Yarrowia lipolytica: one gene and its partners. The protein of the gene in region 2 purifies or fractionates together with the protein of the main gene of each other region. This does not show direct contact. Links are inferred from orthologs where the notes say so. Each region holds a gene or a part of one and is shown on either strand. Other genes may lie near its edges.

What was found.
Region 1: the proteins of YALI1_F11493g (region 2) and YALI1_D16206g purify together in Saccharomyces cerevisiae (affinity purification with mass spectrometry; 7 studies listed by BioGRID, with this or other methods). This does not show direct contact. The link is inferred for Yarrowia lipolytica from reciprocal best matches to the Saccharomyces cerevisiae genes NMD3 and BUD20.
Region 3: the proteins of YALI1_F11493g (region 2) and YALI1_C30287g purify together in Saccharomyces cerevisiae (affinity purification with western blotting; 18 studies listed by BioGRID, with this or other methods). This does not show direct contact. The link is inferred for Yarrowia lipolytica from reciprocal best matches to the Saccharomyces cerevisiae genes NMD3 and LSG1.

Annotation. Positions count from the first base shown.
Region 1 is NC_090773.1:1,619,552-1,622,267, reverse strand, and holds YALI1_D16206g (uncharacterized protein), read left to right. Parts: upstream 1-1,618; coding exon 1,619-2,137; downstream 2,138-2,716. UniProt on the Saccharomyces cerevisiae protein: Involved in pre-60S ribosomal particles maturation by promoting the nuclear export of the 60S ribosome. Involved in positioning the proximal bud pole signal.
Region 2 is NC_090775.1:1,147,433-1,151,399, forward strand, and holds YALI1_F11493g (60S ribosomal export protein NMD3), read left to right. Parts: upstream 1-1,892; coding exon 1,893-3,410; downstream 3,411-3,967. Other genes in the region: YALI1_F11481g (uncharacterized protein), read right to left, coding at 1-712. UniProt on the Saccharomyces cerevisiae protein: Acts as an adapter for the XPO1/CRM1-mediated export of the 60S ribosomal subunit. Unlikely to play a significant role in nonsense-mediated mRNA decay (NMD).
Region 3 is NC_090772.1:3,026,052-3,030,776, reverse strand, and holds YALI1_C30287g (uncharacterized protein), read left to right. Parts: upstream 1-2,019; coding exon 2,020-4,146; downstream 4,147-4,725. Other genes in the region: YALI1_C30310g (uncharacterized protein), read left to right, coding at 1-882; YALI1_C30255g (uncharacterized protein), read right to left, coding at 4,496-4,725. UniProt on the Saccharomyces cerevisiae protein: GTPase required for the nuclear export of the 60S ribosomal subunit. Acts by mediating the release of NMD3 from the 60S ribosomal subunit after export into the cytoplasm.

The DNA.
Region 1 (2,716 bases), on a different chromosome or scaffold from region 2:
GTCAATCAGTTAATTGCCGAGCTTCCATATTATATAATAGTTTTTTTTTTTTTTTTTTTTTTTTTCATCGTCGATCTGAACAAGAGGGATTCGATTCATTGTATCATTATGTAGGTCCTTCTTCCCGCATTGTAGTTGAGAAGGATCTGATGGCGGGTTTGGATGCTCGTCTTGTCTAAACATTTGATCAAAAAGACGATCGTATCAGCCCGAGTAGGAGTGCGATATGACTCCAACATACCCATTGAGACACCATTTATGAATGGTCACGGCAGAGATCGAGGCAGAGATCGAGGCAAGTGACCAGTAGGGCTCCCGTTGCGAATACCCCAGAGCTGCGAAACCAGACAGAAATGGCGTCAATGAGGTCCATCGAACTCATACATGCAATTCATTTACTCAGTATACATAGCGTTATCTGAGCTACTGGAGATTGGCTACTCAACTATCGCTCCATTGATGTTACCAGGGACAGACACACCCTCCAAGGGCCCTGGATCAACTACAGAGATGTTGGCACGACTCTGGTGATTTGTGCTGCCCACTCTGAACAGCTCTTTCTCACAATGGGTTCACAATGGGCCTCCGTGCAATGGAGTATGTGAGATTGTAGTAGCCGCTGGTACTTGTTCCATCCAAGGGGCTTATGGCCAATGTACGAATCTACCGAGGCAAGAGTAAACCAAACTAGTAATCTATCGGTCATTGCCAAACTCGTTTTTTTCTCACCCCTGCCATCTCTAGTGGTGTCAGAGCAATCCGATCTCGTCTGTTGACTCTGACCAGAATGGGACCATGAACAGAACAAGACCGCAGACTTCTCGTAATACTTGTTGGAGTCGCAATAACGGTCATCCAATCAGACAACAATCTCTTGATCCCTTTCGTGACTACGATACTCAGGTGGACCAGAATCTGGCTGAGAAGCTCGTGGGGGGTTTGCGAGGAAATCTCCAATGATCAACATAGTAAAAACAATCAAGACCATCTATACAGAGGTAAAAGATGTAATAGATCAATGAAAAGAGGATGAATAATTCAAACACCACAAACTTGTATAGTTCGTACTTGTATCGTATTCGTACTTGTGGTATTGAGCCTGGTGCCTTGTGTCTGGTGCGTGTAAAAAGGACGTTCCAATGGACGCCATAAAACAGTGTCGAAACGAAGAATGGACAACAAAGTAAAGTCGTTATTGAGAACAAAATGCACTTTTCTGAAACTCCCTATCTTTTATATTCATCTCATTGAACCCGGTTAACCAGGCGTGTACTCGTACTTGTACTTGTAGTGCTCATCCCAGCTCAACCAGTGTCCTTATTGAAAAACTGAAACCGCAGGTGCACACATAATGGCCCAAACCGTCATATACCGTCCCTCAAGTCGTCCAATTATTCAAATTGGCTATTTTCTCGATTTTCTCAATTTTGTCAAAAAAATCCATTTTCCAAAAAATATTTTAACATTTTCCAAAAAAATCTATTTTATTTAAACATTTTCCATTTTATTAAACTCCAAACTCTAAGTAGAAAAAATCTGTAAACGTGCATACGGAAATATCGACACTCTCGCACCACACCGCAAGCGACTCTAGTGACACAAAAAGCAAGAAACAACCATGGGAAGACCATCGCGAATGATGTACAAGACGAAACGTCGAACCCGAGATCTGGACCAGATTCTGCGGGACGACATGAACACGTCGCAGTCGATCAAGGCTCTGCACAACCAGGAGTACGACGAGGAGAAGCCCGGACTGGCGCAGTTCTACTGTATTCCGTGCGCTCGGTATTTCGAAACCGAGTTTGCCAAACAGACACACATCCGGGGCAAGGTGCACAAACGACGGCTCAAGGAGATCCGCGAGGTGCCATACACCCAGGAGGAGGCCAATATGGCTGCTGGAAACAATGTGGCGCGATACCTGGCTCGAAATGATGTTGATAAGAAGCGTCTGGATGAGGAGGAGGTGACCACCATGTTGACAGATCGTGGCAGTCTTGAGGAGGTGGAGCAGGCCAAGGCGGCAAGCAGTTTTGCTCGTGAGCAGGAGGCGTTGCGAATCGCCCGAGAAAAGGAGGCCGAGGAGGAGGACAAAGGGGTGATTCCCGAGACCAAGGATGAGGATATGGCTTAGGAGGCTTAGAAAATCACAGGAATCTGAGCCTGCGAGGATTTGTGATGTTCGTTGGATGCTAGTCATTCGAAACAACTCAGTCATTCAGCCATTTTTCACGGCATTCACTAATCATTCATTCACAAATTACTCAATTCCATCTCTCTGGACCGAGGGATGTAGCATGGGACTTAGAAATCACTCACTGCTGGATCAAATGGATTATGACAATAGCATTATTAACAGAAATGGATAGGCCATGATAGACAATATATTATTGATTACGATGAGCCTCGGACAGAGTGCTATTGGCAGCAGATGGACACCAGATAGTGAGTTTTGTAACGATAGCGAACTCACAGAAAGCCGAATACCTATAGGTGGTTTCTCAGATGGTGGTAATCAGGACCTGAAGAGCCCATTCCAACTTCATTCATCATTCTGAGTGCTCTGTAGCACATCTACCGTGCAAAGTTGTGTATGTTGAGCGTTTTTTTCCATGTGTCTATAACTTTTGCTAGAGACATTCGAGAAAGATGACGAGTTCTGGATATTGTTTCCGGTGCCTGGAAGAACTGCTTGCGACTTTCCACGTCCTTC
Region 2 (3,967 bases):
TGGTGATGACTTTGGCTCCATACACGTTCTTTGCCAGCTGAATCGCAAAGGTGCCGATACCTCCGGAGCCCTTGGAGATGAAGATGGTTTGGTCCCTTTGCAGATTGCCAGCTTCAAACGCTTGCATGGAGGTCAGACCTACCAAGGGGATGCCTGCAGCATCTTGGAGAGAAATGTTTGATGGGGCTCTGGCCACGAGTGAGGACTTGACGCTCACAAACTCGGCCATGGTGCCGTCCTGACGCTCGCCAATCCGGCTGTAGACTCTATCGCCTGCCTTGAACTCATCCACCCCAAGTCCCACCTCCTCCACCACCCCAGATACATCGTAGCCAAAGATATGAGGGTGTTTGTCAGGTGCCAACATCTTCAGAAAGCCACGGTTTCTCATGCCATCAATGGGATTGAGCGACGCAGCAGCCACCCGGATCAGAACATGATCGTCGGCAATCAGAGTCGTCTTGGGATGGTCCTCGGAGTACTGGATCTTGTCCGGGCCTCCATACCCTGTGGTGTAAGCTGCTTTCATGGTGTATTGAAAGCGATCGATCAAGGCCCCTGTGACATGTCCGTGTGCGTGTTTATATATCCATGTTTGAGTACTTGGACCGGCCTCTCCTTGTCCATTGTTATTACATGCTATAGATGACACTAGCCGCACTCTACTGTGAGCACACGAGCAAAGCGACCAAGAAGCGGTAGTACAAGTCATGGAAGCGCAGGAGGATGCTACAATCACAACATGGATATTGTGTTTGTGTTAAATTGCTTCTACAGATTGTCTGGGTCACTGACAGCTGGTTCATTACTTCCAGTATGGCCCAAGATGAACAACTATACACATCCACCCCACATTTGTCACCAGTTAGTAACGCACTAGTGAGACGCATAGATTTGCCACCGAACATGTCACTGCGAGATCCTGTCAGAGGGGAAAGCGCGTATCCCACCCACATGTCATTTGAACTACACCCACAGAAGCAAATTAGGGCATGTATTCCCCACACCTCACGGTATGTACACTCGCAACCACTAACTCATGATACTTGCATCTCAATACAACGTTAGTTGTGGAGATGGTTAACACCATGAGTGGATTCAGAAGGATCTCCTTACCTTTCAATCCAGCTTACCTCCCTTTTGATCCTTACCAGCAGTCTGCCGCTAATTTTTGCGTCCCCAAACAGCCCCCTTGGCATGGGTATCGTACTTGTCCATCTTCTGGTTCGCCAAGAGCCTGTCTCACTGAAGGGTTGACAGATTATTGGTCATCGTGAGGACGGTTGAAACACAAGTGGGTACGTACTTGTATAATCCAGCTTTTGGGTTGCTTGTCGCCCAGATCACACCCCCAATTCAGAGTGTGTAAACCAAACAAGTTTATGATATACTCTGGTCACATTGAACTCATAAAGTGTTCCTTTTCACAGGCGTGACAAAGACTTCCACAAGAAAACATGGCTCAAAGACACAAGCACAAGTGCAAGTAAACGATGTTTCATGTCATATATACATGCAGCACTTGTAATGCTCATACAAATACAATACCACTCAAGATCTATCTCTCCTCTCCACACAGTCCCTCGCCTAAACGATGCATTCATGAGTCAGCTTTGTCAACACGACGATCTTGTATTTCTCAAGAATTTCTCCTATTTTACTACTTAAAGTAAATGATACTGCTCAAAACAGCGCAAAAATACCGTTCCAACAATTCAATTGATTTTATCCAATTTATCGCAAGTTTCCACAAATGTCCCACACTTTCACGCCTCAACCGCTATCTGACATAACTGCCCGAAGCTTATATGAAAATTTCCTGAACCTAATAAAAATCTACAGCATCTTTCTCTACACACACACAACTAACCAGACATAGACACACAAACACCATGTCCGTGTCAGCTTTCAAGGCCACCGTGCTGTGCCACAACTGTGGTACCCCGCTTGATGGTACCCTCACCAATGGAACCCCCATTTGCAACCAGTGTATCGAAATGACGACCGACATCACCAAGGAGATTCCTCGAGAGGCTTCCCTCACCTTTTGCAGAAACTGCGACAGATGGCTGCAGCCTCCCTCATCATGGACCGCTGCCCAGCCCGAGTCCCGAGAGCTGCTGGCTCTTTGTCTCAAGCGACTCAAGGGTCTGTCCAAGGTGCGTCTTGTGGACGCCTCCTTCATCTGGACCGAGCCCCACTCCCGACGTATCCGAATCAAGGTCACCGTCCAGGGCGAGGCTGTGGGCCAGACCATCATCCAGCAGAGCTTCGAGGTCGAGTACATTGTGATCGCCACACAGTGTCCCGACTGTGCCAAATCCTTCACTGCCAACACCTGGAGAGCTAGTGTGCAGATCCGACAGAAGGTGCCCCACAAGAAGACCTTCCTGTATCTGGAGCAGCTGATTCTGCGCCACAACGCACACCTGGACACCATCTCCATCCAGGAGAGCCGCGACGGTCTGGACTTCTTTTACTCGCAGCGAAACCACGCGCTCAAGATGCTCGACTTTCTGGCGTCCGTCACCCCCTGCAGACACAAGCGGTCCGAAGAGCTCATTTCAATGGATACCCATACCGCCAAGAAGCAGTACAAGTTTTCTTACTCGGTCGAAATCGCACCCATCTGTCGAGACGACCTCGTGGTTTTGCCTCCCAGCATTGCCAAGTCCAACGCCAACATTTCTCCTCTGGTTCTGTGTACCAAGGTGACCAACACCCTGCACTTTGTTGACCCCAATACCCTCCAGACTGCCGAGATTCCTGGCTCTGTTTACTGGAGAAAGCAGTTCCCTTCTCTGGCCGATGCTTCTCGTCTGCAGGAGTTTATTGTGCTCGATATTGAGCCTCTGGGACCCGTCAAGGGCAAGTTTGCCCTTGCTGACGCCACTGTGGCTCGAGTCGGCGACATGGGCCGAAACGACACCACCTACAACATCCGAACGCATCTCGGAGGTGTCCTGCATCCCGGAGACTCTGCCTATGGCTACTACATGGTCACGTCCAACTTCAACAATGCCTACTGGGATGAGCTGGACAAGGATAATCTGCCCGACGTGATTCTAGTCAAGAAGCACTACCCTGGCCGACGAAAGAAGCGAAACCGACACTGGAAGCTTAAGCGAATGGCACTTGAACACAACCTAGAGGACGACCCCAAGGTCACCAAAACCGATCTGGACAAGGCTGAGCAGGACTACGAGCAGTTCCTGCAGGAGCTCGAGGAAGACACCGAGCTGCGAGGCACCGTCAACCTTTATAAGCGAACCGTTCCCCAGATGCCTGCTCTTCCCAAGACTGGTGATGAGATGGAGGCCAGCGAGGAGGAGGGCGAGGGAGTTCCTGAGATTGGTGTTGACGAGCTTCTCGACGACCTGGAGGACATGAGCCTGGGCCAGGATGAATAGATGTACCACGAGCGAACCAGTAACGACAAACAGTAACCAAAAGTCAATGGTCAATGGGGATATTTAGATGAATGCATTAATAGATTGGATGTGGAACATAAAACGAAAAGTAGAGCAATAAGGGCATAAACAGCTAGATTCCTCTTTCCCAGGTTACAAGATAGCCCTATTGAACCAGATTTCCTTATTATTTGTTTTTATTCTAATGATTCATTTTTTTATTTAATCACGTGACGTCCATAGCCGTGTTACTAGGTTCAATCACATTTATCGCCAGTTGCGGCCATATCCCTTGGTGAAAAATACGGCTTTCCCCGTCCGATCAAGCCATAGTCCAAGCAACCAGAGAGCCCTAGTTATGTATTGTAGTGGGGAGGACCATACGAGAATCCTAGGTGCTGCAATTAAACCATTTTTTTTTTGCTCTTGCCTCTTCGGCTTTCTATGTTATGTCTCCAACCTGCTTACTCAAGAACCAAGACAGCGTTTTACACACAGTTTGAGTAATGTAGGTTTTAGTGAGACTCTCACTGAAGATATAAAAGTCCGAGTACTTG
Region 3 (4,725 bases), on a different chromosome or scaffold from region 2:
AAAGACAGGGTTCTTAACGGACCGTTTGTTTACAATGACAGAGGGGTGTTCATTGGCAACAGGTTTCTGGATTTTACCGAGTCTCCGGAGACTCCCAGCACCTCTTCTCTGCCTAAAAAATCTCACGTTTCCAGCTTTCAGGATGCTGTCATCTATGACAAACACATGATGAGGGTGCGAGGAAAGATAATCACTGAGAAATGCACGCCAGAAGTCATGACAGCGGTTTTCAGCAACAATGATGGAGAATTGATCATAAATATGAAAGATCTGAGCGCCTCGGAGACTCCTCTTCCCGCTTTCGGATGTCATTTGCCCGGAAAGATGTCCTTCAAGTTACAGGTTGTGGGAAAGACAGCTATTGTGGCTTTTGTAGGGGGCGAAGCGCGATATTCGAGTATCGTGAGCCCTAAAAAAGCCACGGTCCAAGCTGAGAGAGGTTGTTTATTGTTGAGAGCTCCAGCCGGGCTCTTGTTTTACGATGGACATGTGTTTGATGTGATCATCGACAGTCATTGGAGACCAATTGTGCAAAGCTCAAAGTCCACAGAAGTGCTTCCAAAGGAGTGGGATCTAAGTAGGCATCATAGGGTGGAACAAGACAGTAGGTATCGCCACTATGCCTTGATTTATAATCACAACGGTTTGGTTACTGCCCTCGTCGACTTGAAGACTCACAGACTGAAACAGTTGACCGACGTCTCGGACATTGCGCGGGAACACACTTCCCCGATAGATGTTTATCTCACGGTTGTGGGCTTATCCAACGGTTCTGTTGCTGTGTGGAGGTATACAAAGCAGTACTTGGAGAACAAGTATCGACAGCAGCATGGAGTTGATATGATACCTGAAGAGGCGAACAGTTTGATTCAAGGAATATAGAAAAATTGTCACCAGTTGTCGTAGTAGATGTCCACAATGGTTTTTTAGTATATGTACATACAGTATGTACTGTAGTCTGTATATACTGAAGTACACTACACAGTGAGTTCCTTCACCCTAGTTATACAGAGCGAAGTATGACACTTACTTTTAACAAGTCAAGCTTCGGCTGAAAAATTATGTTATTATAAAATAAAATAAAATAAAAAATAGGTGAGTGGTGCAAGCCATTAGAGAAAGTTGTTGACTAAGATCGCAAATGTATGCTTCCACTAGTACTAGTACAAGTACATTGTAATTGTAAAAGCACAGGCTCCTGGCTTTCCTTCTCTGTCAAAAGATCATGAGACTGTTCATCTTTTCCTCTTCTGAATACTCATCATGATCAGCCTGTTTTTAAGGACCCACTAGGGGTGGGAGATCACCGACCTTGTGATATGCCACTTTTGCAAACCAAATGAAGCATGTGAATGACACGAGTTCCTCTCATTAAATGTCGATTTCATCCCATCTCTTACTTGTTCATACAGGTACTTTTACTTGGTCGTCTTGTACTGTACTTGGTGTACTTGTGCATACTGTACTTGGTGTACTTGTGCATACTGTACTTGGCCCTGCCTGAATCTGCCTACAAGCACTAAGGCACCATCGTCTAACGACCAAGAGTTGGACAAAGAAGCATTATTAATCAAAATCCCAAACAACCAAAATATTACAAACCACGCAAATATCCCGCTCCACCAATTTCACGCAACCACCACGTTTACTCGCAATTCTACTCCCCAACCGCCAGTCTTCCAACCGGTTCTATGTTGCCACAGTAACAAATAAAGTTCACTGATATGATCTAAACCAAGTGAGAAACACTGGCTTCAATGAGTCATTCATACACTATAGAACCTTCAAAATACCTCCCTCGGACTCATATTTCACTGTATTATCGATTCCCGCTTTCTCTCAACGAATTGCTCCCAAACCCCCCTTTTTTCCTGTTGCTCAGTTGTATCGTGTCACACTTGCACATCACGTGACCGTGCAGGTTGAAACTCAACCTTAAAAATTATTTCTGCATCATATCTAAGGTGCTGGGGTCCTACGACCTCATCCCCCACTACACGAAATTTATATTATCTGAACATGAACAAAACACCGTTGCATTCCGATGTGGTCAAGCCCAAGGGTCCCCCCTCGGGACCCAAGCCGCAGTACCACAAAAAGAAGACCCCCAACAACACGGGACTCGGAAAGACTCTGATGAACCGAAAGGCCAAGGAAGGACGAGTCTACGTGACCGATTCTGGAGAGACCCGATACACAACCGAGGAGAACAAGGAGGCCGGGTGGGTCAAGCTGCGATCCGTCACCCAAGAGAAGGCTCTGGACGAGTTTCTGGCCACCGCCGAGCTGGCTGACACTGATTTCACCGCTGAGCGACGAGCCCACACCACCATTATCAACACCCATGACAACTCCAACCCTTACCTTTTGACCAAGGCTGAGGCCGAGAAGCTGCGTGAGAAGCAGCTGGAGAACGCCGGCAAGCTGACTGTTCCCCGACGACCTGTTTGGACTGAAGATACCACCTCCACCCAGCTCGATCGAGAGGAGAAGGAGGCGTTTCTGCGATGGCGACGAAGTCTGGCGGAGCTGCAGGAGAACCAGGATCTGCTTCTGACGCCATTCGAGCGAAACATTGAGGTGTGGCGCCAGCTGTGGCGAGTGTGCGAGCGATCCGATCTGGTTGTGCAGATTGTCGATGGGCGAAACCCTCTGCAGTTCCGATCCGAGGATCTGGAGTTGTATGTCAAGGAGATTGACCCCCGTAAGCGAAACCTGCTGCTGGTTAACAAGGCTGACCTGATGACCGAGGAGCAGCGACAGATCTGGGCCGACTATTTCAAGAAACACGGAATTCGATACGCCTTCTTCTCTGCTGCCAAGGCCAAGGAGGAGCTGGAGGCTCTGGAGGCCCGAGAAGAGGCTCAGGCTACCAAGAAGCCCGCCAAGAAGCCCGTCAAGAATGACGATTCCGACGACGAGGTGTCGGCTCTCGAGCGAGAACTTGCACAGTTTGTCCCTAAGGAGGAGTCTGAGGATGAGGATGAGGAGGAAGACGAAGAAGACGAGGAAGACGACGTTGAGCCTTCTGTCACCGAGATCCAGGAGGCCGTTCCTGCTAACGCCCATGAGGAGGCCAAGGCTACCGACGAGTCCAAGCCTGACACAGAGAACATGCACTATTCCGTCATGGCCACCCCCACATCTATCCTGTCTGTGGACCAGCTCGAGCAGCTGTTCCTCGCCGAGGCTCCTGCTCCCATGCAGCCCGCTCCCGCTGGCCAGGAACCCCGCCTGAACATTGGTCTGGTCGGTTACCCTAACGTTGGTAAGTCTTCTACCATCAACGCCCTGGTGGGCTCCAACAAGGTGTCTGTTTCTGCCACCCCTGGAAAGACCAAGCACTTCCAAACTATCCTGCTGTCACCCAAGGTGATGCTGTGTGATTGTCCCGGTCTGGTGTTCCCCAACTTCGGTAACACCAACGGAGAACTGGTGTGTAACGGTGTGCTTCCCATCGACCAGCTGCGTGAGTTCACCGGTCCCGCGACCCTCGTGTCTCGACGAGTGCCCAAGTACTTCCTCGAGTCCGTCTACGGTATCAAGATCTACACTCGTCCGGTCGATGAGGGCGGTCTCGGATATCCCACAGCCACAGAATTCCTTGTGGCCTACGCCAAGGCACGAGGATACATGCGTGGAGCCTCTCAGGGTAATCCCGACGAGTCGCGAGCTGCTCGATACGTGCTCAAGGACTACGTTAACGGAAAGCTGCTCTACTGTCATCCTCCTCCCGACTACAGAGAGGATCTGGATGACGAAGATGCCGGTATTCTCTTCAACAAGGGTCTGTACACCCTCAACCAGCTGCCTCCCTCGCGTCAGAAGCAGCTGCTTGATGCTGCTGTTCACTCTGGCATTGCTCGAGAGGATTTTGACCTTGAGCGAGACATTGACAAACTGTCTTTCTCCCAGCATGCCACTGGAGCCGGTGGTTTCGGTGGTAAAGGATTTTCTTCTCTCGGCGAGCATCTGGACGCTGACTACTTTGGAAAGAACTCATCAGGAGGCAACATGAGCACCCCCTTCCACCAGCGAGGTGCTGCTCAGGGCACCAAGAAGCATTTCAAGGGCAAGAAGGTCAAGGCCCGAAACGCCCGGTCCACCAACGACAACTACGGCGGAACCTACGGCGATATTATTTAAGCGGATGACGGCACGACTAGGGAAATGACTTGGGAAGACGATGCATTATAGATAATTATGATACGATAGTGATATGACAGTAATACAGGTGGGTTGCATTACATTTTTGGATATTGTATTACATTCGATGATAAGATGTGTGACTTCATCAGCAGCTTCAAACACGTAGTGTATAGAACATCTATAGACATTCAATCGACAGATATGTATAAAGAGTCACACTCGATATCAAATGGTCTATTCAATCAATTGATCTATATACAACTTTACTTGTGCACCGCAAAATCAATTGTTTAAGCCCAGATCCTATCAGCAGGTTTGCTGGGCGGGGTGAGAGCGTTCGCTAAGTTCATGCAGTCTTGGCTTCCTCCTTGGTCATTCGTCCTCCGAAAATGGTCGATCCAATTCTCACATTGGTGGATCCCTGCTTGATGGCTTCCTCAAAGTCAGAAGACATGCCCATGGACAGCTCCAGACCTGTGATATCAAAAGCCTGCTCAATAGAGTCTCTGATCTGTACCAGCGTGGCAAAGTCCTTGTTCTCCTCCGAGGCCTTGGACTGCTCAATTGAGCCGATGG